5 linked regions of the Callithrix jacchus genome follow. The protein of the gene in region 1 purifies or fractionates together with the protein of each later gene. This does not show direct contact. Links are inferred from orthologs where the notes say so. Each region holds a gene or a part of one and is shown in the gene's direction. Other genes may lie near its edges.

What was found. Proteins that work in one complex are often made in the same cells at the same time.
Region 2: the proteins of PRPF8 (region 1) and HNRNPU fractionate together in Homo sapiens (co-fractionation; 3 studies listed by BioGRID, with this or other methods). This does not show direct contact. The link is inferred for Callithrix jacchus from reciprocal best matches to the Homo sapiens genes PRPF8 and HNRNPU.
Region 3: the proteins of PRPF8 (region 1) and SART3 purify together in Homo sapiens (affinity purification with mass spectrometry; 4 studies listed by BioGRID, with this or other methods). This does not show direct contact. The link is inferred for Callithrix jacchus from reciprocal best matches to the Homo sapiens genes PRPF8 and SART3.
Region 4: the proteins of PRPF8 (region 1) and SNRNP70 fractionate together in Homo sapiens (co-fractionation; 3 studies listed by BioGRID, with this or other methods). This does not show direct contact. The link is inferred for Callithrix jacchus from reciprocal best matches to the Homo sapiens genes PRPF8 and SNRNP70.
Region 5: the proteins of PRPF8 (region 1) and TTC27 purify together in Homo sapiens (affinity purification with mass spectrometry; 3 studies listed by BioGRID and IntAct, with this or other methods). This does not show direct contact. The link is inferred for Callithrix jacchus from reciprocal best matches to the Homo sapiens genes PRPF8 and TTC27.

What each region holds. Positions count from the first base shown.
Region 1 is NC_133506.1:66,573,217-66,578,104, forward strand, and holds part of PRPF8 (pre-mRNA-processing-splicing factor 8), read left to right. Parts: intron 1-1,770; coding exon 1,771-2,018; intron 2,019-2,133; coding exon 2,134-2,313; intron 2,314-2,520; coding exon 2,521-2,656; intron 2,657-2,764; coding exon 2,765-2,934; intron 2,935-3,097; coding exon 3,098-3,227; intron 3,228-3,339; coding exon 3,340-3,486; intron 3,487-3,661; coding exon 3,662-3,822; intron 3,823-4,103; coding exon 4,104-4,295; intron 4,296-4,835; coding exon 4,836-4,888. UniProt on the Homo sapiens protein: Plays a role in pre-mRNA splicing as core component of precatalytic, catalytic and postcatalytic spliceosomal complexes, both of the predominant U2-type spliceosome and the minor U12-type spliceosome.
Region 2 is NC_133520.1:41,334,567-41,339,454, forward strand, and holds part of HNRNPU (heterogeneous nuclear ribonucleoprotein U), read left to right. Parts: intron 1-1,498; coding exon 1,499-1,762; intron 1,763-2,077; coding exon 2,078-2,197; intron 2,198-2,825; coding exon 2,826-2,954; intron 2,955-3,077; coding exon 3,078-3,246; intron 3,247-3,535; coding exon 3,536-3,790; intron 3,791-4,088; coding exon 4,089-4,273; intron 4,274-4,634; coding exon 4,635-4,706; intron 4,707-4,888. UniProt on the Homo sapiens protein: DNA- and RNA-binding protein involved in several cellular processes such as nuclear chromatin organization, telomere-length regulation, transcription, mRNA alternative splicing and stability, Xist-mediated transcriptional silencing and mitotic cell progression.
Region 3 is NC_133510.1:111,409,192-111,413,498, reverse strand, and holds part of SART3 (spliceosome associated factor 3, U4/U6 recycling protein), read left to right. Parts: intron 1-1,634; coding exon 1,635-2,089; intron 2,090-2,570; coding exon 2,571-2,723; intron 2,724-3,676; coding exon 3,677-3,867; intron 3,868-4,307. UniProt on the Homo sapiens protein: U6 snRNP-binding protein that functions as a recycling factor of the splicing machinery. Promotes the initial reassembly of U4 and U6 snRNPs following their ejection from the spliceosome during its maturation.
Region 4 is NC_133523.1:42,910,505-42,915,392, forward strand, and holds part of SNRNP70 (U1 small nuclear ribonucleoprotein 70 kDa), read left to right. Parts: intron 1-532; coding exon 533-597; intron 598-714; coding exon 715-777; intron 778-3,403; coding exon 3,404-3,485; intron 3,486-4,888. UniProt on the Homo sapiens protein: Component of the spliceosomal U1 snRNP, which is essential for recognition of the pre-mRNA 5' splice-site and the subsequent assembly of the spliceosome. SNRNP70 binds to the loop I region of U1-snRNA.
Region 5 is NC_133515.1:82,201,269-82,206,156, reverse strand, and holds the end of TTC27 (tetratricopeptide repeat protein 27), read left to right. Parts: intron 1-335; coding exon 336-436; intron 437-3,582; coding exon 3,583-3,705; 3' UTR 3,706-3,818; downstream 3,819-4,888.

The sequences.
Region 1 (4,888 bases):
ACCAGGCTAATTTTTTGTACTTTTAGTAGAGACTAGAGACGGGGTTTCACCATGTTGGCCAGGATGTTCTTGATCTCTTGACCTCATGATCCACCTGCCTTGGCCTCCCAAAGTGATGGGATTACAGGCGTGAGCCACCATGCCCGGCCTGTTTTTTTTTTTGAGTTGGAGTCTGTCACTCTGTCACCCAGGCAGGCTGGAGTGCAGTGGTGCGATACTGGCTTACTGCAACCTCCGCCTGCCAGATTCAAGTGATTCTCCTGCCTCAGTCTCCCAAATAGCTAAGACTACAGGTATGTGCCACCACGCCCAGCTAATTTTTGTATTTTTAGTAGAAACAATTTCACCATGCTGGCCAGGCTGGTCTCGAACTCCTGACCCCAAGACCCTCCTCAGCCACCTAAAGTGCTGGATTACAGCTGTGAGCCAGCGTGCCTGATTTTTATTTAATCTAATTTGATAGTGTTTACTGCACAAATATGGTATAAATATCTCAATTAAGGTTAAGTTACAATGCTCTCAGTGTAGCATTGTAGTTCAGTTTATATCTACCATCTTATCCATCTTTTTTTTGTTTCATTCTTTCTGTTTTCCCTTTTCTTGCCTTCTGAATTCAGTTGTTTTGTGATTCTAATTTATCTCCACTTTTCATTTATTTGGCTACATGGTTTTTCCTTACTGTTTGCTCTGAGGTTTATAGTATACATCCCTCATTTACGGTGATCTGTGACCATTAATCTACTGCCAATCACTTTACATATAATACAAGAGCCTTACAAGGTACACTTTAACTTCCACTCCCACTCTTAGTAGTATTTTTGTCATAATGTTTTAATTGTACATGAATTATAAGTGCTACAATATTTTTACTCTTTTTGCTTTAAACAGCCTTTATCTTTTATAGAAATTGCAAAATGAGAAAAAATATCTTTTACATTTTAACCACGTAATTACTATTTCTGGTGTTCTTCACTACTTTGTATAGCTCCATCTGGTGTCCTTTTTCTTTTGGTTTTCTTTTTTTTTTTTTTTTTTGGGAGACAGTGTCTCACTCTGTCGCTCAGGCTGGGGTGCAATGGTACAATCTTGGCTCACTGCAACCTCTGCCTCCTGGGTTCAAGCAGTTCTCCCTGCCTCAGCCTCCCGAGTAGCTGGGACTACAGGTGCCTGCCACCATACCCGGCTAATTTTTGTATTTACTTCTAGTAGAGAAGGGGTTTTGCCATGTTGGCCAGGCTGGTCTCAAAACTGCTGACCACAGGTTATCCACCCACCTTGGCCTCCCAAAGTGCTGGTATTATTATTAAAGACATGAGTCACTGCACCTGGCCCAAAAGGCTTTGCTTTTTGTTTGCCTAAAAAAAAAAGTATTTTGCTTTCTCTTTTCTCTCTTTTCTTTTGAGACAGTCATGTGTCTCCTAGGCTGGAGTGCAGTGGTATGATCATGGCTCATGCAGCCTGTAACTCCTGGCCTGAAGCGATCCTAGCATCTCAGCCTACTGAATAGGGTCTTCCTATGTCGCCCAGGCTGGTCTCCAACTCCCGGGCTCAAGCAGTTCTCTCACCTTGGCCTCCCAAAGTGCTGGGATTATAGGCATGAGCCGCTGCACCCAGCCTCATTGTGGTTTTGCTTTCTATTTCCCTAGTGACTAATGATGTTGAACTCAAATCTTTCTTGAGTAGTAGGGATAAAACTAACTGGGTCAGGTTGTCTCCACCCTCCCCGCCCCTGGCCCATCTGTCATTTGCTTTTTTTCCTACTGTCTTTAGATTGTGAATAAGTGGAATACAGCTCTCATTGGCCTCATGACATACTTTCGGGAGGCTGTGGTGAACACCCAAGAGCTCTTGGACTTGCTGGTGAAGTGTGAGAACAAGATCCAGACACGTATCAAGATTGGACTCAACTCCAAGATGCCAAGTCGGTTCCCCCCAGTTGTGTTCTACACCCCTAAGGAGCTGGGTGGACTCGGCATGCTCTCCATGGGTCACGTGCTCATCCCCCAGTCCGACCTCAGGTACAGCCTGGTTACACCTGTTTCTAAGTCCTGTTGCTCAGGCCCTAAGGGAATTGGGTATTTCTTTAGTCTTAGGCTTTATTTTTTCTCTCATCTTGGTTGTATCCCCAAACAGGTGGTCCAAGCAGACAGATGTAGGTATCACACACTTCCGTTCAGGAATGAGCCATGAGGAAGACCAACTGATTCCCAACTTGTACCGCTACATACAGCCATGGGAAAGTGAGTTCATTGATTCCCAGCGGGTTTGGGCTGAGTATGCACTCAAGAGGCAGGAGGCCATCGCTCAGAACAGGTGGGCACCTAGAGGGCATGCCAACCATGGGGCAGGGGCAGGAGGTGGCCTTTGAACCTTGTGTGGAGTTCAGGCCTAAAGCATGCCATGTTTTTATGGGGGTGAGAGGCTGGTTCTACTCCTGACCCTGATTATTTTTGGCTAGGAAGGAGTGTTGAGCTCTTGATATGAGAAAGTGTTTTGACTTTAATCTTTCTTTCTTGGAAGACGGCTGACTTTAGAAGACCTAGAAGATTCATGGGATCGTGGCATTCCTCGAATCAATACCCTCTTCCAGAAGGATCGGCACACACTGGCTTATGATAAGGGCTGGCGTGTCAGAACTGACTTTAAGCAGTATCAGGTATGTGGCGGGAGTAGATTTTCCCTGAATCAGGAAAATCCATGGCTGTCCCGGAAACTTGGGGCAGTGGGCACCCAGAAACTTGACCGTGCCTGCCTTGCCTTTTAGGTTTTGAAGCAGAATCCGTTCTGGTGGACACACCAGCGGCATGATGGGAAGCTCTGGAACCTGAACAACTACCGTACAGACATGATCCAGGCCCTGGGCGGTGTGGAAGGCATTCTAGAACACACGCTCTTCAAGGGCACTTACTTCCCTACCTGGGAGGGGCTTTTCTGGTGAGGATTCTCCTCTCAGAGAGACCTGTCACAGCCCTTTGAGCTCGTCTCTTGTGTGCCTCCGTGGTCTTCTGTGGTGTTTCCCAGACAGCCACCTCCAGGAGGTCAGCTGTGTGCTGGGAGCTGGAAGGATATCACCTCACCTGGTTCTCTTGCTCCCCAGGGAGAAGGCCAGTGGCTTTGAGGAGTCTATGAAGTGGAAGAAGCTAACTAATGCTCAGCGATCAGGGTTGAACCAGATTCCCAATCGTAGATTCACCCTCTGGTGGTCCCCAACCATCAATCGAGCCAATGTGAGTGTGACTGGTAGACTGGAGATGGGAAGCTGAAAACAGTTGTTTCTCCTGGGTTATGTCACGAGCGCCCGAGTCTCAATCTCTGATGTCACACTGTCTTTCCTGCCAGGTGTATGTAGGCTTTCAGGTGCAGCTCGACCTGACGGGCATCTTCATGCATGGCAAGATCCCCACGCTGAAGATCTCACTCATCCAGATCTTCCGAGCTCACCTGTGGCAGAAGATCCATGAGAGCATCGTCATGGACTTATGTCAGGTTGGCTGGGATCAAGGGGTGCCATCAGAAGTCAGCCTGGCTTGCTCTCTTGATATGGGAAATTCATGCTGGAAGCTCTGAGGATGAGATTCCCATTGCCTCATCTGAAATCTGCACACTCTCGTTCTCATTGGGCTTTCCTGACAAGCCTTCATCTCTACATCTTTTGCTTCAGGTGTTTGACCAGGAACTTGATGCACTGGAAATTGAGACAGTACAAAAGGAAACAATACATCCCCGAAAGTCATATAAGATGAACTCGTCCTGTGCGGATATCCTGCTCTTTGCTTCCTATAAGTGGAATGTCTCCCGGCCCTCATTGCTGGCTGACTCCAAGTAAGGGCCTCAGGCCACAGCCCTAGGAATCTGGGAACTTTAGTTTGACTGTTCTTCCAGCACTGCTACTTGAGGAATTGGCCCTGTCTGCCTTTCTCAAACTGGGAGCCTGTCAATACCCTTAGTCAGATCTGCTGACCCTCTGGGGTCTTGCTGATCTGGAACAACTTGGTGGGGTGGGTGGGATGGTTTTGGGATATAAGTGATGAGGAAGTCTGTGGTTCTGGGGACATGGGTTATGAGCATGGTTTTCTAGAAGCTTGAGCCCTCTTCATCCTCAGGGATGTGATGGACAGCACCACCACCCAGAAATACTGGATTGACATCCAGTTGCGCTGGGGGGACTACGATTCCCATGACATTGAGCGCTACGCCCGGGCCAAGTTCTTGGACTACACCACAGACAACATGAGTATCTACCCTTCGCCCACAGGTGTGCTCATTGCCATTGACCTGGCCTATAACTTGCACAGGTGAGTTGAGACCCAGAACCGTGGCGCAGTAGCTCACATCTGTCATCCCAGCACTTCGGGAGCCTGAGGTGGGAGGATTGCCTGAGTTTGAGACCAGTCTGGGCAACATGGTGAAACCCCATCTCTACTAAAATACAAATAATTAGCCAGGCGTGGTGGTCTGCCCCTGTAGTCCCAGCTACTCAGGAGGCTGAGGTAGGAGAATTGCTTGAACTTGGGAGGCAGAGGTTGCAGTGAGCGAAGATCATGCCACTATACTCCAGCCTGGCCCACAGAGCGAGACTCTGTCTCTAAAAAAAAATGTGTTCTCCATTAGTCCCATACTTTAATGCAGTCATACTTTTTTTCTTTGTCTGAGTGAGAGGAAATTTGGCCCCTTCCTCCCGTGGGTCACTGACTCCCTTCTCCCAGCCTATATGTACACCAGCAGAGTATTGTCAGCCTGGCCAACTGTCTTTCTTTCTCCATTGAGTTGTGGTTTGTCTTGTTCCTGGGGCTATCAGCCTGGTCTTAACTTGCCTTGACCCTTTACCCTCACAGTGCCTATGGAAACTGGTTCCCAGGAAGCAAGCCTCTCATACAGCAGGCCATGG
Region 2 (4,888 bases), on another chromosome or scaffold:
TTTTAAAGACTTTGTTCAGCAGTTGAATTGGGAAAATATAGGGCATTTTTTGAGGAACTCACTAACTCATTCTGACTGAAAACAATAGACATGAAATTGACCTAGAAAATTTAGTCTAGCTTGTAGGTCAGCATTGTTTCTGATTCTGGAGACTTGATTGTTTATAACCATGAGATTTTTTTTTTCTTGAGATGGGGGTCTTACTGTGTCACCCAGGCTTGAATGCAGTAGGGTGATCTCAGCTCACTGGAACCTCCTCCTCTCAGGTTCTAGTGATTCTCCTTCCTCTGCTTCCTGAATAGCAGGCATATGTCACCAGGGTCAGCTAATTTTTGTATTTTTAGTACAGATGGGGATTTCACTATGTTGGTCAGACTGATCTCAAACTCTTGACTTAATGACTCACCTGCCTTGGCCTCCCAAAGTGTTGGGATTACAGGCGTGAGCCACCACCCATGGTGAGATGGGGTTTCATCATGTTGGCCAGGCCTCCCCGAAGTGCTGGGATGAGCCACCACACCAGGCCTTAACTGTTAGATTTCTTTTTTCCCTTTTTTAAAAAAAAAAAAAAACAAAAAAAAAAAAACGGGGTTTCACCATGTTGGTCAGGCTGGTCTTGAACTCCCAACCTCTCAGGTGATCTGCCTGCCTTGGCCTCCAAAGTACCTGGACTATAGGTGTGAGCCACCATGCCTGGCCAACTGTCAGATTTCTTAACTGTTTAGCCCTTAGAGGCCTCCTAATAGGTCTTTTTTTTTTTTTTTTTCTTTCCTGTTTGCCTGTCCTTGAATTAACTAATAGTTCTTTAACCTGTAACTTCCACAGGATAAACTTTTCTCCTCATTTAGTTTTTTTTTTTTTTTTTTTTTTGAGACGGAGTTTCGCTCTTGTTACCCAGGCTGGAGTGCAATGGCGCAATCTCGGCTCACCGCAACCTCCACCTCCTGGGGTCAGGCAATTCTCCTGCCTCAGCCTCCCAAGTAGCTGGGATTACAGGCGCGTGCCACAACGCCCAGCTAATTTTTTGTATTTTTAGTAGAGACGGGGTTTCACCATGTTGACCAGGATGGTCTCTATCTCTTGACCTCGTGATCCACCCGCCTCGGCCTCCCAAAGTGCTGGGATTACAGGCTTGGGCCACCGTTCCCGGCGGAGTTTCGCTCGTTACCCAGGCTGGAGTGCAATGGTGCGATCTCGGCTCACCGCAACCTCCGCCTCCTGGGTTCAGGCAATTCTCCTGCCTCAGCCTCCTGAGTAGCTGGGATTACAGGCACGCGCCCCCACACCCAGCTAATTTTTTGTATTTTTAGTAGAGACAGGGTTTCAGCATGTTGATCAGGATGGTCTCAATCTCGTGATCCACCCACCTCGGCCTCCCAAAGTGCTGGGATTACAGGTGTGAGCCACTGCGCCCGGCCTGCTGCTCATTTAATTCTGGAGTTCTTTGAAAGTTTATAGGAAGCAGATTTTAGTTGTTGAAATTTTTTCTGTTTAACAGAACTTTGAAAGTGACGATGTAGAACTCTCCTATGCTAAGAATGGACAGGATCTTGGCATTGCCTTCAAAATCAGTAAGGAAGTTCTTGCTGGACGGCCACTCTTTCCGCATGTTCTTTGCCACAACTGTGCAGTTGAATTTAATTTTGGTCAGAAGGAAAAGCCATATTTTCCAATACCGGAAGAGTATACTTTTATCCAGAATGTCCCCTTAGAGGATCGAGTTAGAGGACCAAAGGGGCCTGAAGAGAAGAAAGATTGTGAAGTAAGTGATTTTTTTTAACGGTGGCATTTGAATATTGCTTGCTTGGCGCAAATGACATTGAGAAGAGCTAGATGATTTGTTTCGTTTACTTTTTGCTATACATACTGCTTTCAATTGGATTTTTCTCTTAAGTTAGCTGTGTTTCCCCATTGTGTTAACTGTTAATCTTTTTATAAACACACATTTTTTTGTCCTTTATTGTAAGGACTATGAAAACCTAAATACTTAAATTGGCTTTAAAAGACAGTATTTTAAAGATTATTAGGTGATGTCGAATGACTAGACAGTGAAATGATACTTCTTTCTTCTCACTAGGTTGTGATGATGATTGGCTTGCCAGGAGCTGGAAAAACTACCTGGGTTACCAAGCATGCAGCAGAAAATCCAGGGAAATACAACATTCTTGGAACAAATACTATTATGGATAAAATGATGGTAAGTAAAATGTTGAGGGCTTTATCTCAAGTGTTTATAAAATAGACCAGGAAAGGCTGGATTGTGCAGGCTCAAACACCTGTAATGCCAGCACTTGGGAAGTCAAGGTGGGTGGATCGATCACTTGAGGCCAAGTGTTAGGGACCTACCTGGCCAACATGGTGAAACCCCGTCTCTACTAGAAATATACACATTAGCTGGGCATAGTGGTGGGCACCTGTAATCCCAGCTGAGGGAGGCAGGGGCAGGGAGAACCACTTGAACCAGGGAGGTGGAGGTTGCAGTGAGGCGAGAGTGCGTCTCAGGAAAAAAAAAAACCAGGAGGTATTCTAGGTAAACCTTTTGCCTGTTGTCTTTATCCATTTTGTTATATTAGAAATAGGAGGTAAGGCAAAATTAAGTTGGTTCCTTGGCTAGGCTTGTCTTGTCTTTTATTTTTTCCATAGTTTTTTTGAGCTCTTAACATCTAGCAGCTAAAAATAATTGAGTAGGGTCTTGTTACATAGTTAAATGACCTTGTTTTTGTATTAGTAATGGACAAAGGTATACTTAAAATTATAAAATGTTGCCTACTTTCCATATAGATAAGAGTTGAATTTTAAAATTTTTAACTTTTGAATATATATAGGTGGCAGGTTTTAAGAAGCAAATGGCAGATACTGGAAAACTGAACACACTGTTGCAGAGAGCCCCACAGTGTCTTGGGAAATTTATTGAGATTGCTGCCCGTAAGAAGCGAAATTTTATTCTGGATCAGGTATGCTGTAGCTTTGAAATGGAAAAATATTAACTGGTAACTGAGATAGATTGGTGTAGAATTAATAGCGTTTATAGTTATAAACACAATTTCTTTTTTTTTTTTTTTTTTTTTTTTTTAAAGACAAATGTGTCTGCTGCTGCCCAGAGGAGAAAAATGTGCCTGTTTGCAGGCTTCCAGCGAAAAGCTGTTGTAGTTTGCCCAAAAGATGAAGACTATAAGCAGAGAACACAGAAGAAAGCAGAAGTAGAGGGGAAAGACCTACCAGAACATGCAGTCCTCAAAATGAAAGGCATGAAATTGAATTCTGTGACTGTGTTAAATCTTTTTTAAAACTTTTTCCCCATGCTTATTCTGCTTATGTAACTATTAAATCTCTATGGTTTACGTATCTGAAAAATTAACGTTTTTGCCAGCAATACTGTTTCAAGAGTTACAATTGCACTCGTTAAATATGCCTGTATGTTTGGTCTATTTCTGTTGAGGAAAATAAAGTTACTAAGCCTCAAGAATCGTTAGCTTTAGGGTTGCGGGATTTGTGGTGGGTCTCTAAGTTAATAATACGACTTTGTTTACTGCAGGAAACTTTACCCTCCCAGAGGTAGCCGAATGCTTTGATGAAATAACCTATGTTGAACTTCAGAAAGAAGAAGCCCAAAAGCTTTTGGAGCAATATAAGGAAGAAAGCAAAAAGGCTCTTCCACCAGAAAAGAAACAGAACACTGGCTCAAAGAAGAGCAATAAAAATAAGAGTGGCAAGAACCAGTTTAACAGGGGTGGTGGCCATAGAGGACGTGGAGGATTCAATATGCGTGGCGGAAATTTCAGAGGAGGAGGCGAGTTAATTTCTAGTGTTCTATATTCCATCCAGGATCGAAACAAGTGATACTTTTATAGTTCGGTTGATTTGAAGTAGCCTCTAAAGAAAAATTGAAAAAAAAAATTCGGATGTAGTTTGGATGTAGCTGTAGTTTCTTCCTCATTAATGCTGTGCTGTCACAGGAACTAGTTTAAGGTATCGATGTGATTTGATGATTATTTTTTGAGAAAAAGTAACAGTCTAGAGGAATCCCAAGTCTTGTATAAGTAGGTAGTATACAATGCAATTAAATCAAAACATCTCTCGTTTTTTAGCCCCTGGGAATCGTGGTGGATATAATAGGAGGGGCAACATGCCACAGAGAGGTGGTGGTGGCGGTGGAAGCGGTGGAATCGGCTATCCATACCCTCGTGCTCCTGTGTTTCCTGGCCGTGGTAGTTATTCAAACAGAGGGAACTACAACAGAGGTGGAATGCCCAACAGAGGGAACTACAACCAGGTAATGCAGTATCCCTGGAAACATGATATCTGTATAGCTTAGCCTGGAAAGTTGTGAGCTTTATGTTGGGGTAACAGGAATCCATAAGGAACATGAAAGATAGGCATTGACATAAGGAAAATTGAACTAGTAGAGGTGAAATGAGTCAATTTTGAGTGTTTTCAGGTATGCTAATTAATAAGTCAGATGCATTTCTCATAATGAATAAAAAACATTAAGAAATCAGTAGAGGGTATCCCAATGTGTGTATTCCCCCTGAGATTAGGGGCTAGTAATCTATTTTTGCTCCTCTCTGACCCACACAAATCAATCTAACAAGCAGATGGGCTCAGAGCTCTTAAAAAATATTTCCTTTTTGTAGAACTTCAGAGGACGAGGAAACAATCGTGGCTACAAAAATCAATCTCAGGGCTACAACCAGTGGCAGCAGGGTGTAAGTAATTTCTTATGTGCTTATGTACATTAATTGTATTTTGGGTTCCTAAAGATGTGTCAGTCTTGAAAAAGATCTTGTCCAGGGATTGAAAAGTTTGTAAGTGTTAATAGGGTAAAGTGTGAATCGTGTTGTAGAAAGTAGCCAAAATCTATCTTTTGAAGGCAAAATAGGTTGAAGAT
Region 3 (4,307 bases), on another chromosome or scaffold:
TTACAAATGAGCCATTATGCCCAGCCTTGGCCCTGCTTTTAATGGTTGTGACTTAGTGGAATTTTCCAGCAGTGTTTCTTTCACCCTTGTAATTTTAGGGATGAACAGCTCTGGGTCATATTTATTTCAGAGTCAGTTAAGGTAAAGAATTGTCTCTGATGGCGGGGTGCCGTAGCTCATATCTAATCCCAGCACTTTGGGAGGCCGAGGTGGGTGGATCACCTGAGGTCAGGGATCTAAGACCAACCTGGCCAACATGGTGAAAACCTGTCTCTACTAAAAATACAAAAATTAGCCAGGCATGATGGCAGGTGCCTGTTTTCCCAGCTACTTGGGAGGCTGAAACAAGAGAATCACTTGAGCATAGGAGGTGGAGTTTGCAATGAGCTGAGATCGCACCACTGAACTCCAGCCTGGGAGACAGAGCAAGACTCCATCTCATAAAAAGAAAAAAAAAGAATTGTCTCTGGATGTGTAAGGGACTCTGTACACTTTCTTGGTACAGATGTATGAGCCAGAAAGAACTGGGAATGGAGTCATCCATCTTTGAGTTGACCTTGCTTGCACACCTTGTTTGGGCTTTCCTTAATAACTAAGGGGGGCTCATTGCCCCTCAGGCCTCCCAGTTTAGTAGAGTAAGGCAAATGTGATATGTGACCACGGTGGCATGTCATCAGGACTGTGGGAAATGGAATTGTTAGTAGTGGTGGAGGCCAAAGAAGGCTAGCTCTGTACCAGGAAGACTGAAGGGGAAGAGGTTTGAAATCCAGCGGGGAGACTGAGTGACTGTCTGGCATCAAGAAGGGAAGGGCCGAGCTAGACAGGGAGCCAGTGTTAGCACAGCCTGAAGGCCTATCACAGCCTGGCAATTTCTGTAAGAGCAAATAATTGGGTTTGAACTTGGATACATGGAGAAGAGATGGGGCAGTGTTTGAGGAGGCTGGAGTGGTAGGCGGGCCAGTCAGCTGGACCCAGCCCAGGTGCGCTCTTGAATACAGTAGCAGCGTGCAGGGCTTTCCACTCACTGCAAAAGTGTTGGGTGAACTGATGGGGAGGTCTGTTTGCTGGAGGCAGACATCTGTTGAACTTTAGTCCTGGCCCTCTGGAGGCAGTGGTGAGGACAGACTGGAGTAAAAGATTGTGGTTAAGCTCTCTTAAGGACACAAGGTAATATTGAAAGTGTTTTAGAAATCACAGACCCTTTGTAGTGCTTTCCAAAATGTGCTCTGTGGGGCATGGGCATCAGTTACTAGGGTGCTTTTCCAGTGCAGATTCTCATGTCCTGTCCCACCCCTGTTGACCTGGGCTTTTGTAGGAGAGGGGCCCTGGGATTTGCTTTCTGAACTTTGAGACCCTCTGGCCTTTTGTATAATTAAGAGTGGACAATGGGGATTTATATTATTACTTCCACTTGACTGAGCCCACTTACCCGAGTATAACTGGGGCACACAGAAAGTCGTGGGACAGGTCAGGCGGGTCACAAAAGACTTCTCCGGGTGATGCTTGCTCTTCTGTGTCTGGCGAGGGAGTGTCACATGCAGCTGTCACAGCTCATTCACATCACACCTCTGTTCAAGCTCCCCAAAGAGAGGTAACGGTTAACCAAGGCTATTTTTTCTTTTGAAAACCTGTAGAGCAGCCTTCCAAACGCAGAAGGGTGGAGAACAGCATCCCTGCAGCTGGAGAAACACAAAACATGGAATCAGCAGCAGGGCCCGCTGGGAAATGTGCTGTTGTAGATGTGGAGCCCCCTTCGAAGCAGAAGGAGAAGGCAGCCTCCCTGAAGAGGGACATGCCCAAGGTGCTGCACGATAGCAGCAAGGACAGCATCACCGTCTTTGTCAGCAACCTGCCCTATAGCATGCAGGAGCCGGATGCGAAGCTCAAGCCGCTCTTCGAGGCCTGTGGGGAGGTGGTCCAGATCCGACCCATCTTCAGCAACCGTGGGGATTTCCGAGGCTACTGCTATGTGGAGTTTAAAGAAGAGAAATCAGCCCTTCAGGCACTGGAGATGGACCGTAAAAGTGTAGAGGGGAGGCCAATGTTTGTTTCCCCCTGTGTGGATAAGAGCAAAAACCCCGATTTTAAGGTAGGTTTATGGAAAAACAGAATGCCTTGTATCTGTGATTGCTGTAGGGACTTCCTTCCTGCAGCAGTGATATTTAGGATATAAACAGAAGTTTTATGCTGTTTGGATCTAAACTTCCTTGTCTGCCGAGGTCCATGCTGACCTGGTTGACTGAGGTCTGACTCATGGCATAGGTACTTGCTGCTGGGTGCTTGGTAGTGACAAGAGACTGTGCTAAATGTGTTGTATGTATGTCACCTCATTGAACCCTTATCAGACTCTGTGACTGGCCACTTTTATTCTTGCCATTTTACAGAGGAAGACATGGAGGCTAGAGAGGTTAAATGACTCAGCCCGGTGGCTCTGTTAACAAGCTTCAGCATGGCTTGGCTCTGGTCTGCCTGGCTGGGCATGCTCCTGGGGACAAGGCTGGTGTCAGAGGAGTCAGGTGAGCAGGGTCAGGCCTTGAATCATGGTTTTTTTTCTCCCTTCCTTCCTACAGGTGTTCAGGTACAGCACTTCCCTGGAGAAACACAAGCTGTTCATCTCGGGCCTGCCTTTCTCCTGCACTAAAGAGGAACTAGAGGAAATCTGTAAGGTTCATGGCACCGTGAAGGACCTCAGGCTGGTCACCAATAGGGCTGGCAAACCAAAGGTCAGCGTTAGAGCAGACTGTGCCTCTTCAAGACTCATGCAAACTTCGTTTTTGTATCTGTTCAAAGATTATTTACCTTTAGGGTGGGTTCCTAGTTCATCTGCTGAGAAAAGTTATTTTAACAAAGATCTGCACACTTAGCTCTACTTATATTTGGAGTCAGATTAACCTGTTTGTAGTTAATTGTACTAAAAAGAATAAGGCACTTGGAAATAGATGATCATGAATTCACCATACTCTGGCCCCTTGCTGTGGGGCTTGAGGGAAGCCCTGTGACCAGCAGCACACAGGCTTTGGGGTGGGCACCTTGTGTAGCCTCCTCCCTCTTTCCCAGGCCTCTCTTTCCCTGGGGCCTCCAGCCAGGCCCCTTGAGTCCCTCCATTGCAGTACGTCTTCTCATGTCCTTCCTTCTTGCCCCGCAGTCTCCTGCTAAGTCCTTTTGTGCCCCATTTTGAGTAGTAAGTGGTTTTGTGTTACTGTCTACCCACTGCCCACTTTACCTCCTCCCCTTTATCCAGGTTAATGGAGAGAAAAAGAAGATGAAACGGGGGGGCGGGGTGCGGTGTAAGGGCACAGAAACACGAGGGCTCACCTGGGCACCTGGACTGCTCACCCTGTGTTCCGTCCACCTCTTGGTTTATTTGCTGGATTTATACTGGTCCATCTGTCTGTTTCCTTCTTTCTTTCTACTTCCGCAGCACATACCACGTGTCCTGAACTTGGAAGGGTTATCTGAAGTTACAGTGCGTAACAGCAATAGGGAAGGAGAGGAGGGTGGGGAAACAAGCCTGTAGACAGAGGATGTGGTGGTGGGGAAGATAATCTGTTGGTGGGGCGTCTGCTGTGTCCTGGTCTGCTGGTCTCCAGGAGGAGGCCCAGTGCCTGCCCTGTGGGAGGAGGTTGTATCCTGGGTCTGCAGGATCTGACTTGGTTCTGGATCTTGCCTCTTCCAGGGCCTGGCCTATGTAGAGTATGAAAATGAATCCCAGGCGTCGCAGGCTGTGATGAAGATGGACGGCATGACTATCAAAGAGAATGTCATCAAAGTGGCAATCAGCAACCCTCCTCAGAGGAAGGTTCCAGAGAAGCCAGAGGCCAGGAAGGCATCAGGTGGCCCCATGCCTTCACCGCAGACATACGGAGCGTAAGTGCTTGCACAGTAGATTAGTGCAGACTTCACTGTGGCTGACACCAGTTCATGGACCATGGTGGGATTAACCAGGACGAATTAGCTTCCTGTTAGGACAGAAAAGCCAAGGTCTGCTGTTCTTGTGGTAATCACTGTGGTTCCACTGGAGCAAGGTGTCCAGAGCAGGTCCAGGGAGGGTGCAAGCCTAGGCAGTGACCCCTGCCTGGTATTGGCCAATTTACACTTCGTCATTTATTACAGAACTAAAGGCAGTGACTATTTTAAAGTCCCCTTTGCCAGTTGGATCTGTGTGTTTAAAACAAAATCTCATACCCATGTGTGTGCCAGTCTACAGCCCTAGCTATGATCCATATAAGCTGTGCTTTTCCCCCCGATAGGGATGAGGAGGAGATAGCGGAATTGCTGGGTGACTGGTGAGGTCTGAGAGGCGATAG
Region 4 (4,888 bases), on another chromosome or scaffold:
AAAGCAGGCCTTAGATAAGCTTGGCTCTCCTGGCTCTCATTCTTAGCCTTGGAGCCGTAGGTCTCAGGTTTTCCTGTGGGCTGTAGTTGCAGTCTGTGTCCAGCGGGTGGCATTGTGGCTCTGCTAATGGAGGGACCTCAGAACCTGGGGGCATCAGCTGTATCTCCAGGGAGGCCCTTTTGGACTGTTTGGATCACCTTGCATCTGGGAGCAATGGGGCCCTTGTGGCTTCTGTAGGTCTGAAATGGTAGTTGGGCCTGCCATACCCTGTCAGCTGGAAGTCAGCCTGACCTCCTCCCCTCAGCAGCCTGGATTATCATCTCTCAGCCACTCTGGTAAAGGCTACTGTGCCTTAGAGAAATAGGTTCAGAGAGGGGCATGCTTGAAGTTACCAGGTCACCACCCATGTTCCTCCAGTTAGGGGCTCTCCCAGTGCCCTCTCTTTTTTCTCGGCCTCTGCCCATCTGTATTTGTTTTGCTCCCTGAGACTGTGGACACCTTCAGCTTACAAAATTCCTTTCTTCCTACACAGGGGACCCCCACAATGATCCCAATGCTCAGGGGGATGCCTTCAAGACACTCTTCGTGGCAAGAGTGGTAAGTCCCCAGCTGCCGAGAGCCTGGGCCTGGGACAAAGGGCAGATAGGCTAGGACCCAGGGGACGTTCCGGGGACCTCCCGTTTCCCGTTTAACGTCGTCTCCATCTCCTTGTAGAACTATGACACCACAGAGTCCAAGCTCCGGAGAGAGTTTGAGGTGTATGGACCCATCAAAAGAGTAAGTGGAGTGGGTCAGGGTGTTTGAATGGGGCGTGCGTGGAGGAGGGCTGTAGCCTGAAAGGGAGGCGAGCTCCCAGCCCTGGGCCTGGCTCGCAGCATTTCAGGGCCCGGGCTGATGTACCCTGAGTGAATCTGCATGCAGCAGGCCTTGGGGAGCAGGAGTCAGATGAGAGGTAGTGACTGTAGTGACTGACTGCTGGGGGCTGGTTCAGAGCAGGGGGCTGGCAAACTGCAGACTTACTGCTTGTAAATACAGTCTTACTGGCTCATCTGGGCAGCTGTTTGTTTATACATTGTCTTTGGCTGCCTTTTTTTTTTTTTTTTTTTTTGAGACAGAGTTCAGCTCTGTTGCCCAGGCTGGGGTGCAGTGGTGCAATCTCGGCTCACTGCAACCTCCACCTCTTGAGTTCAAGTGATTCTCCTGCCTTAGTCTCCTGAGTAGCTGGGATTACAGGTGCCCGCCACGACGTCCAGCTAATTTTTGTATTTTTAGTAGAGACGGGGTTTCACTGTGTTGGCCAGGCTGGTGTTGAACTCCTGACCTTGTGATCTACCAGCCTCCCAAAGTGCTGGTATTACAAGCATCAGCCACCACGCCCGGCCTGGCTGCTACTGTCGTAAGGCAGGTTTGGGTTGTTACAGCAGAATAGAAGGCTGTCACAGCTGGAAGTAAGCTACTCTCTTGGTCTTTGCAGAATGTGTATGCGGACTCTTGTTTTAGAGGAAGACTTTGTTTTACTGATCTTCTTTTGAGTTACTTAAGTGCTCTGTGCCTGATTTTCTTTACCTAAAGTGGGAGACAAATGTCTTCACTGAGCAGTAGTAAGAGTCTGAGACCGTCCCACACGAAAACTGACATTAGACAAAAACTGACATTAGCTGTGTCTGTTCTCCTCTATTTCTGATACATTTTTAAACAATATTTGTGGCGGGGTGTGGCTGGGATTACTCATGCCTGTAATCCCAGCACTTTGGGAGGCCGAGGTGGGTGGATCACGAGGTCAAGAGGTCCAGGCCATCCTGGCTAACATGGCAAAACCCTGTCTCTACTAAATATAAAAAAATTAGCCAGGCTTGGTGGCGTGCGCCTATAGTCCTAGCTAGTCAGGAAGCTGAGGCAGGAGAATCACTTGAACCCAGGCAGCAGAGGTTGCAGTGAACCTAGATTACAACACTGTATTCCAGCCTAGGTGACAGAGTGAGACTCCCTCTCAGAAAAAAAAAAAAAAAAAAAAATATATATATATATATATATATATATATATGTTTATACACGTCAGGCCGGGCACAGTGACTCACTCCTGTAATCCCAGCTCTTAGGGAAGCAAAGGCAGGAGGCCAGCTTAAGCCCTGGAATTGAAGACATGCCTGGGCAATATAGTGAGACCCTGTCCTCCACAAAAAAGAGGAAAGAAAAAAAGTATTATAGGCTGGGTGTGGTGGTTCATGCCTGTAATCCCAGCACTTTGGGAGGCTGAGACAGGCAGATCACCAGAGATCAGGAGTTCAAGACCAGCCTGGCCAACATGGCGAAACCGTGTCTCTACTAAAAATACAAAATGTTAGCCAAGCGTGGTGGCTCGTGCCTGTGTATATACACGAATATAAAGACGGCACACGTGTTATGCCCTGCACAGCCCAGTAACAACGTTGGCCCTGCCCTCATCCCTTTGATCCCATTCGAGTCAGGAATCTCAGTTGGGTTTTGGAGGCTACGGGGTCCCAGGTTCAAGTCCTAGGACCAGGTGAGCTCATCCACGACGCAACTTGGATTGGTCGACAACTGGTAGTGACATGAATGGAGAACTAGCCATCCTTTAGGGACCAGCCCAAATGCTCTCACCTCCCAGAAACCTTCCCTACTTCATCCCGGCCTCCTCTGTCTCAACAGCCCTGCCCTGCCCATTGTTCTCCTTGACGTGGTCCCAGGGGGGTCTTTTTGCCATCCAGAGCTGACCCTGTCTCCTCTGCACACAACCTCCCATGGGTCCCTAGCATGTTAGGACAGGTCCAGGTGCAACTGCCTGGCCTTCCAGGGCCCTTCCTCAAGCTATGTGGCCTCGTGGACCTCCATCTCACGTCTCCCCTTTCCTCCCTTGCTGCCATCCTCAGATGGGACCCATCCTTAGTGCGCCACATTCTCTCAGGCCTCCCTGGCTGTGCACACGTCCTTTCTTTTTCTCTTAGAACTCCCCTGTCCCTGGCCGGGCGCAGTGGCTCACACCTGTAATCCCAGCACTTTGGGAGGCCGAGGCGGGCAGATCACGAGGTCAGGAGTTTGAGACCAGCTTGGCCAACGTGGTGAAACCTCATCTCTACTAACAATACAAAACATTAGCCAGGTGTGGTGGTGCACGCCTGTAATCCCAGCTACCTGGGAGGCTGAGGCAGACACCTTCATCACTGTCCCTTCATCCCTGTTCGGTCTTTAGGTCTTAGCTTACATGTCATTTTCTCCAGGAAGTCACCTCTGTGCCCTCTGCTCCTGCTATTAGATCATAAGTCACTTGGGGCTCTTGAAGGACAGAGAGGGTCTGGCCCCGGGCCTCTCGTGCAGGCTGATGTGGGGTGGGTGGGGCGGAGCTGCCCTGTGTCGGGACTCAGCCCTGTCCCCACGCCTGCAGATCCACATGGTCTACAGTAAGCGGTCGGGAAAGCCCCGCGGCTATGCCTTCATCGAGTATGAACACGAGCGGGACATGCACTGTGAGTACCACCCGCCGCAGCGCTGCCCTCTGACCCTCTCACTTCTCTGCTGCCCCAGCCCTTCCCAGTCTGTCCCCTCCCCACCCTGCCACACCTGACATTAGCGATGTCTCTTCTCCTCCTCCCTCTGTTTCTGATATATCTTTTTTTTTTTTATATACGTGTTTTTTAAAAAACAAAAACCAAATCCCCCACAACGTGTGTGTGTGTGAACCTGGGGAGGTAAGTGTCACACGTTGAACCTCAGGGGCAAAGAGGGAACTGGGTGGGGGGCTGGGGCCAGCCGGAGGTGGGGGGAGGGGTCGGATTTTGGGGGAACCTCTCCCCATTATTCCCCCCACTGGAGTTGGGGGTGGCCAGGTTGCCAGTGACGACTGGCCTTTGAACTTGCCCTCTCTTCCCCCCCAGTACAACTGGGGCTGGGCCACCCAACCCTCCGCCTCCCCAGCTCTGGCCCCCCACCCTGTTCCTCAGCGGGCAGTGGGGTGATAGGCATGTTGAGCGCCCGCCCCTACAGTTCCAAAGCCCCCTTTGAGGCTGCCGCGGCGTCCACATGGGCAGGGATGGGTGGGGGAGGGCGGGCAGGGCTGCGGCGTGTCCAGGGGCCGCCGTATTAATTGACTGTTCTTATTGTCACTGCAGCCACCACGCAGCTGGCTTGCAGCTGATGCTTACGCTCCCCTTACAACACCTCAGTGTATGGTTGGTATAAGGGTTTGTATCATGGGTAAGATCACTCAGCACCGCACACCAGCCCAGCTTAGCCAGGCAGCTCAGGAGCAGCGAGGCACCCCTTCTCCCGCCCCAGTCGCCCCCGCAGCCTCCCCGCACCCACAGCCCTTTCCTTGTTTGGGTGCCCTTTGTCCCTCCTGCCCCGATCCGTATGCTTTCTGAGAATCTTGCTGATCGCAGGAGGGGAAGGATGAACCCGGTGGGAAAGGCAGCAGCCTCTCCGCTTGGGCTCCACCGGCCTCTAATGACCCGGCTTCGCGATGTCAGCGGTGAGGTGGTGGGAAAACCGAGGGCAGGGCACCAGGCCAGGGCTCCACTGGAACCCTTCCGCCTTCCCTCCCTGCCCCCGTGCTTTCTGTGGGGCTGCCACTGTGCTGGCCCTGGAGAATCTTTTTGGCTGCTAGTTTTGGGGCACTCTGCCCCCTTCCTGTCTTCCTTACTGTGGTCGAAGCCTCCCGAGGGGCTGGCTGTGGTGTCCAGCCACTCCAGAGGTGGTCACGAGCTCCCCAAAGTGCATGGAATTGGGGCTTGGGGTGTGGGAGGGACCAAGGGGTAAGTTGCCAGCAGCTGAAGGTGTCGTAGGTTTTAACTAAAGAACCGTCCACTGTCTAGAGACTTCAGAGAGAGGGAAAGAGAGAGAGAGGCCTAGATGAACACAATCACATGTTTTC
Region 5 (4,888 bases), on another chromosome or scaffold:
AGAGTATAGAAAAGCCAGATGCAAAGGCTCACACCTGTAATCTCAGTGCTTTGGGAGGCTGCGGCAGGAGGATCACTTGAAGCCAGGAATTCAAGGCTGCATGCCTTACCTCCAGCCTGAGCGACAGGGTGAAACCCTGTATTTTAAAAAAAAAAAAGAAGGATAAAGGGAAAAGTTATGTGCATAATTATTATTATTTTTCAAACATAAAAAATTTCCAGGAAGTATTTCTAAAGTCTGTTACTATAAAATTCTAATTAAGTAATTGGCATTTGAACCTGTGAATTATCATTACCACTTTTTAATGGATGTTTCTTTCCATGTTTATCTTCCAGTGGCCATAAAATGCAGTAAAAACAAATCCAGTCCCCAAGAAGCTGTTCAAATGCTTTCTTCAGTTCGACTCAATTTACGGGGCTTGTTATCTAAAGCAAAGGTGAGAATGACATGTGAATTAGTTGCCATGGTCAAATAGAAAAAGGTCATTAGTATCAACTTATTGCTAGTTATTAAATCCTTTACATCAGTGATAATTTTAGGCGCATGTTATATTTTATTTTGTAGCGCCCTTATGGTTGATTGTGTTAATAAGGATCCTGTTGGCTCAATGGCTAGACCACTCTAAATGTATGTGACTTAAGAATCTTCGAAATTGGCCGGGTGTGGTGGCTTATGCCTGTAATCCCAGCACTTTGGGAAGCTGAGGTGGGCGATCACTTGAGATCTGGAGTTTGAGATCAGCCTGGCTAACATGGTGAAACCCCATCTCTACGAAAAAATTCAAAAATTGGCTGGTCATGGTGGTTGGTGCCTGTAATCCCAGCTACTCAGGAGGCTGAGGCAGGAGAATCACTTGAACCTGGGAGGCAGAGATTGCAGTGAGCTGAAATTGTGCCATTGCACTTCAGGTGACAGAGTGAGACACTGTCTCCAAGAAAAAAAAATTCTTTGAAATTAATGTTTACCATTCAGCCCTTAATGCTTTCTTTAAATTATGTTAAAACAACGCTCTTGTATTTATTGTCATTTTCCCCAAAGTGTGGCATATATGCCACTGGTAAACTTTCGGTTTAAATATATATTTATTTCAGTACATATTAGAAAAACGTAGACTAGCACATCAAACCTATATTTTCATGAATATTATTGCTTATTTTGTATTTACAATAGTGATGTAATGTTTCCTTTTAAAAAGAGTCAAGTAAGTTAAAAAAATTGACTTAGATAAAAATTTTAAGTAGGAGGTATATGGATTTGACCAAAATTGTTAAGGTAGATGGTGATTCAGGTTTGACAACTGAAATATGCCTTTAGTTCACAAAGACTAACTTTTGGACCAGTGCGAGGCGGGAGATGCTTAAGAATCACTCAGGGAGCTTTATTGAAGATGGGATTCTGGGGCTCTATCTGTGACCAATGTAGATTCAGGAATGGGATGGAACCCAGGAAATCTGTTAAATTTCCTAGGTGATTTTACTGTGCAGCCAGGTTTGGAGTATACATCTGGAAGAAAATTTAGACAAATATAACTTCCAGCACAATTTAGTGCTTACTTTTCTAATCTTTACTTGCTTTCATTATGGGAATCTTGGGTTGCAAAGTAATTTTGACTGACTTCTGAGAGTGAGTCTGGCACACGGAGGCCACTTCTGAATACCTTCGTACTCTGAAACAGTCTTTCCAGAGTATGTTTTTTCTTACTAATGGTTTGATCTTTTCAGATCAAGGCATCATTTTTTCCTCTTTAGATAATTAACTTATTTTACTTTTCCTATTTATCTGCATGACCCAGGAGAACCGTATTTCCTCCTAGCTTGGCAGTACAACCCAGAATCGTGTCTCTCAATCATCTACAAGAGCTCCCTCAAAGTCAGAGCAGCAGGGTTTTTTCCTGTGACTTTCCTTCCCAAAGTTGGAACTTTGTTTCCTACTCTTGATTAGATCGCTAAGGCATCCACAACAGTTTACTTCTTCAGGATATACTGTGGCTTCCTTTTGTCTGTGTGAAGCTTTTTCTTATAAATTATTATTTTTATATAAATCTATACTTACATGACTGGAAAAGTGTTGTCTGTGCAGGTACTGTACGTCTTTCCATATTATGGTAGATTGCCAAATAATGAAAATGTGGCCTCAGAACATCATCTGTGTTTAGATTTTCGTTCTCATTAGATGCCATCTGGGTTATCCAAAAACGGGAAAAATTACCTCCCAGTGCCTCCTCTGAAGCATGTTTTACATATATGTGGGAGTCTCAGGTTTTGTAGATCATATGCCTTTTCTATTTAGTGAACTGGGTTTGTCAAACTGAATTGCATTCCAAAAAAGTCACTTTTTTAGAACACTTTAGAAAGTGGAAATGAACTAAGATTGAAAATAAATGAGGATAACTCTGTTAAATTGTTTACAGCCTATGTTAAATGGGCGTAATTGAATGAATGAATTTTCTTGCCAGGCCAGGGACTTCGTGGAAATAAGCTACTAGTACCTAGAGACTCACCTAACAAATCATCCAGTCCATGCTCCCCCAAGACACAGTGACTCCCCTGCCCACTTGCACCCTGTCCTTGTACAGGTTTGCTGCCAAGAGTGGCAGGAGGGGGGCTGTTCATGAGAGTGCTGGAGAGTCTGTCAGCAAATTATTCATTCTTTTCTAAGCTTCAGTTTCTCTGTGCTTCCTCTTTACCCCACAGGGAAGTGATGCAGATTGATTATGATTTGCAAGCACTGTCATTCTTAGTTTAAAAAAACACATACAAAAAAAAAAAAAACAACTATGTGAGGCTAGATTATTTTCCTAAGAGGTGTTTACAGATGACACTGGAGCAGTTCCTACTTCATTTTGTTATGAAATGCTATACAAATCATATAGTCAAATCCAATGAAACAGATATATGGCAAACTACGTAAATTATATTTCTGAATAAACATACACACAGTCACATGGGCACACACACACACATACAAAGGGGGGTCATAAAATCCTGAAGCTGATTTTCTTGGGTGTCTATGTTGGCTCAGGAGGCAGTTCCTGGAGAGGCATTTCACAATGTTTTCAGCCGTGGTAGCATTACTGGAACGTGCTGCAATAAACCTCCCAAGGCAATTCCTTCTTCAGGGAGAGGACACACTTATTTTTATTTTGCTGGACTTTTTTGCTAGGATAATCTTTGTGGTCTCTGAGGCCTAAGCCAAATTAATTTCCAAATAAGTAGCATAAAGGGTATGATTTATATGAATTTGAATATAGAATATGTTTGTTTTGCCTGTATACACAATAAATAAACTCGTTTTGTTTGGTTGAATTATGTCTATTCATCCAAAAACTATCCTATAACATTGAAATTAATAACCAGTATTTAGACAACTGCTTTGAAGAGCAGAGCTCATTTGAATTTATAAGTTGAGGCCTGTTGTTTTGATTCATTTAATTATTGTAGCTTGTACATTTCAGTGAACAGAAAAATACACTACCATTGCTATTACAATTGTATAGTATTATTATGCAAAAGGTTTTTAAACTATTTTACTTCAAAGAAATTTCATTGTTTTAATATTTCTGCTGTGTTTTTTATATTACAGCAACTTTTTACAGATGTAGCAACTGGAGAAATTTCCAGGGAATTAGCTGATGACATAACAGCTATGGACACCTTCGTGACAGAGCTCCAAGACCTAAGCAACCAGTTTAGAAATCAGTATTGACTCTGCTGGAAGCAGATTCTGGAAGAGGTGCTTTCACCTTCTGGTAAAAGATATATCTGTATATCTGAAATGCAAGCTATTGATTTTTAAAATAAATTTGTTTTATGACTTAACATTCTTGGTTTTGTGCTCTCAATTTTATATGCTTTCTGAAGTACATTAAATTTTTTAAACTCCCTATCTCTTTAGGTCTAATTACAGTTGAATTCAGTATTCTTACTATTCTTGAGGTATTTTGGCACAAAGGGCAGATAAATTCATTTTGTTTTTAATATAGGGTTTATTCTCCTTCAGCCTAACATTAATTGGATCATACTTTGGAAAATCTTAGTCTAAACAGGTGAAAAATCGCAAACTTATAGTATTGTGAAATCATTAGATTGACTGCTTTATTGTTCAAAAGTGATAAAAGAGTCGATTTGGAGGTAGAAACATTTATACTTCTCGAGATTTGTGCTTGTGTCAGAAAGATACAGACTTGGGTAAATTGGAAATGTGAGCATTGTTTAACTTCTAAATCAAGAAAATGCAAGAAAAAAATGGCATAACCTAAATTTTTACTTAGCTATTGGGAACTAGGCTGTTGCCCCTTCATTATGTATACTGCCAGCCCCAAAGATGGTTGTTTAATTAGGGTATTATGGGTAAAGACAGCTATTAATGGTGCCGTATTATAGAAATGCCAAAGTAAAATGCTTTCAATGTTGATGGAACCAAATATTGAAGGCAGCAGCTGAGCGTAACCATCTTAGTACAAAAGTCATAGCGAGGAGTTCTAAGTCCTGGCTTGGGTTGCTAAATTTTGGGTCCCATGTATAAATCATTTGGCCCTTTTGTCCCCATGTTCTTATATAGAAGATGTAAATAATTTCTACTACTAGCTTCTCTGTGAGTTTCAGCTACTTTTGGAAACTTAAAAATTCATAAAGTATTCTGAACATTAAAAAAACAGTCTTTAAAAAACTTTAATGAATTTTGGTTATGAATGCTTACCAGTACTAAATGCTCTCATTTCTTAACCACCTACTTCTCTTTTCTATTAGCGTATTATCCTTAAAAAGAAGTTGGTGTATGCCCCAGAGCAGTTTCTCTTATAGCAGAGACAATACCTGTGAGAAAGACCAATAAAACGAGTTAACATTAAGGGCCTACTTAAACCTTTTATGGAAGCCATTGAGGACTA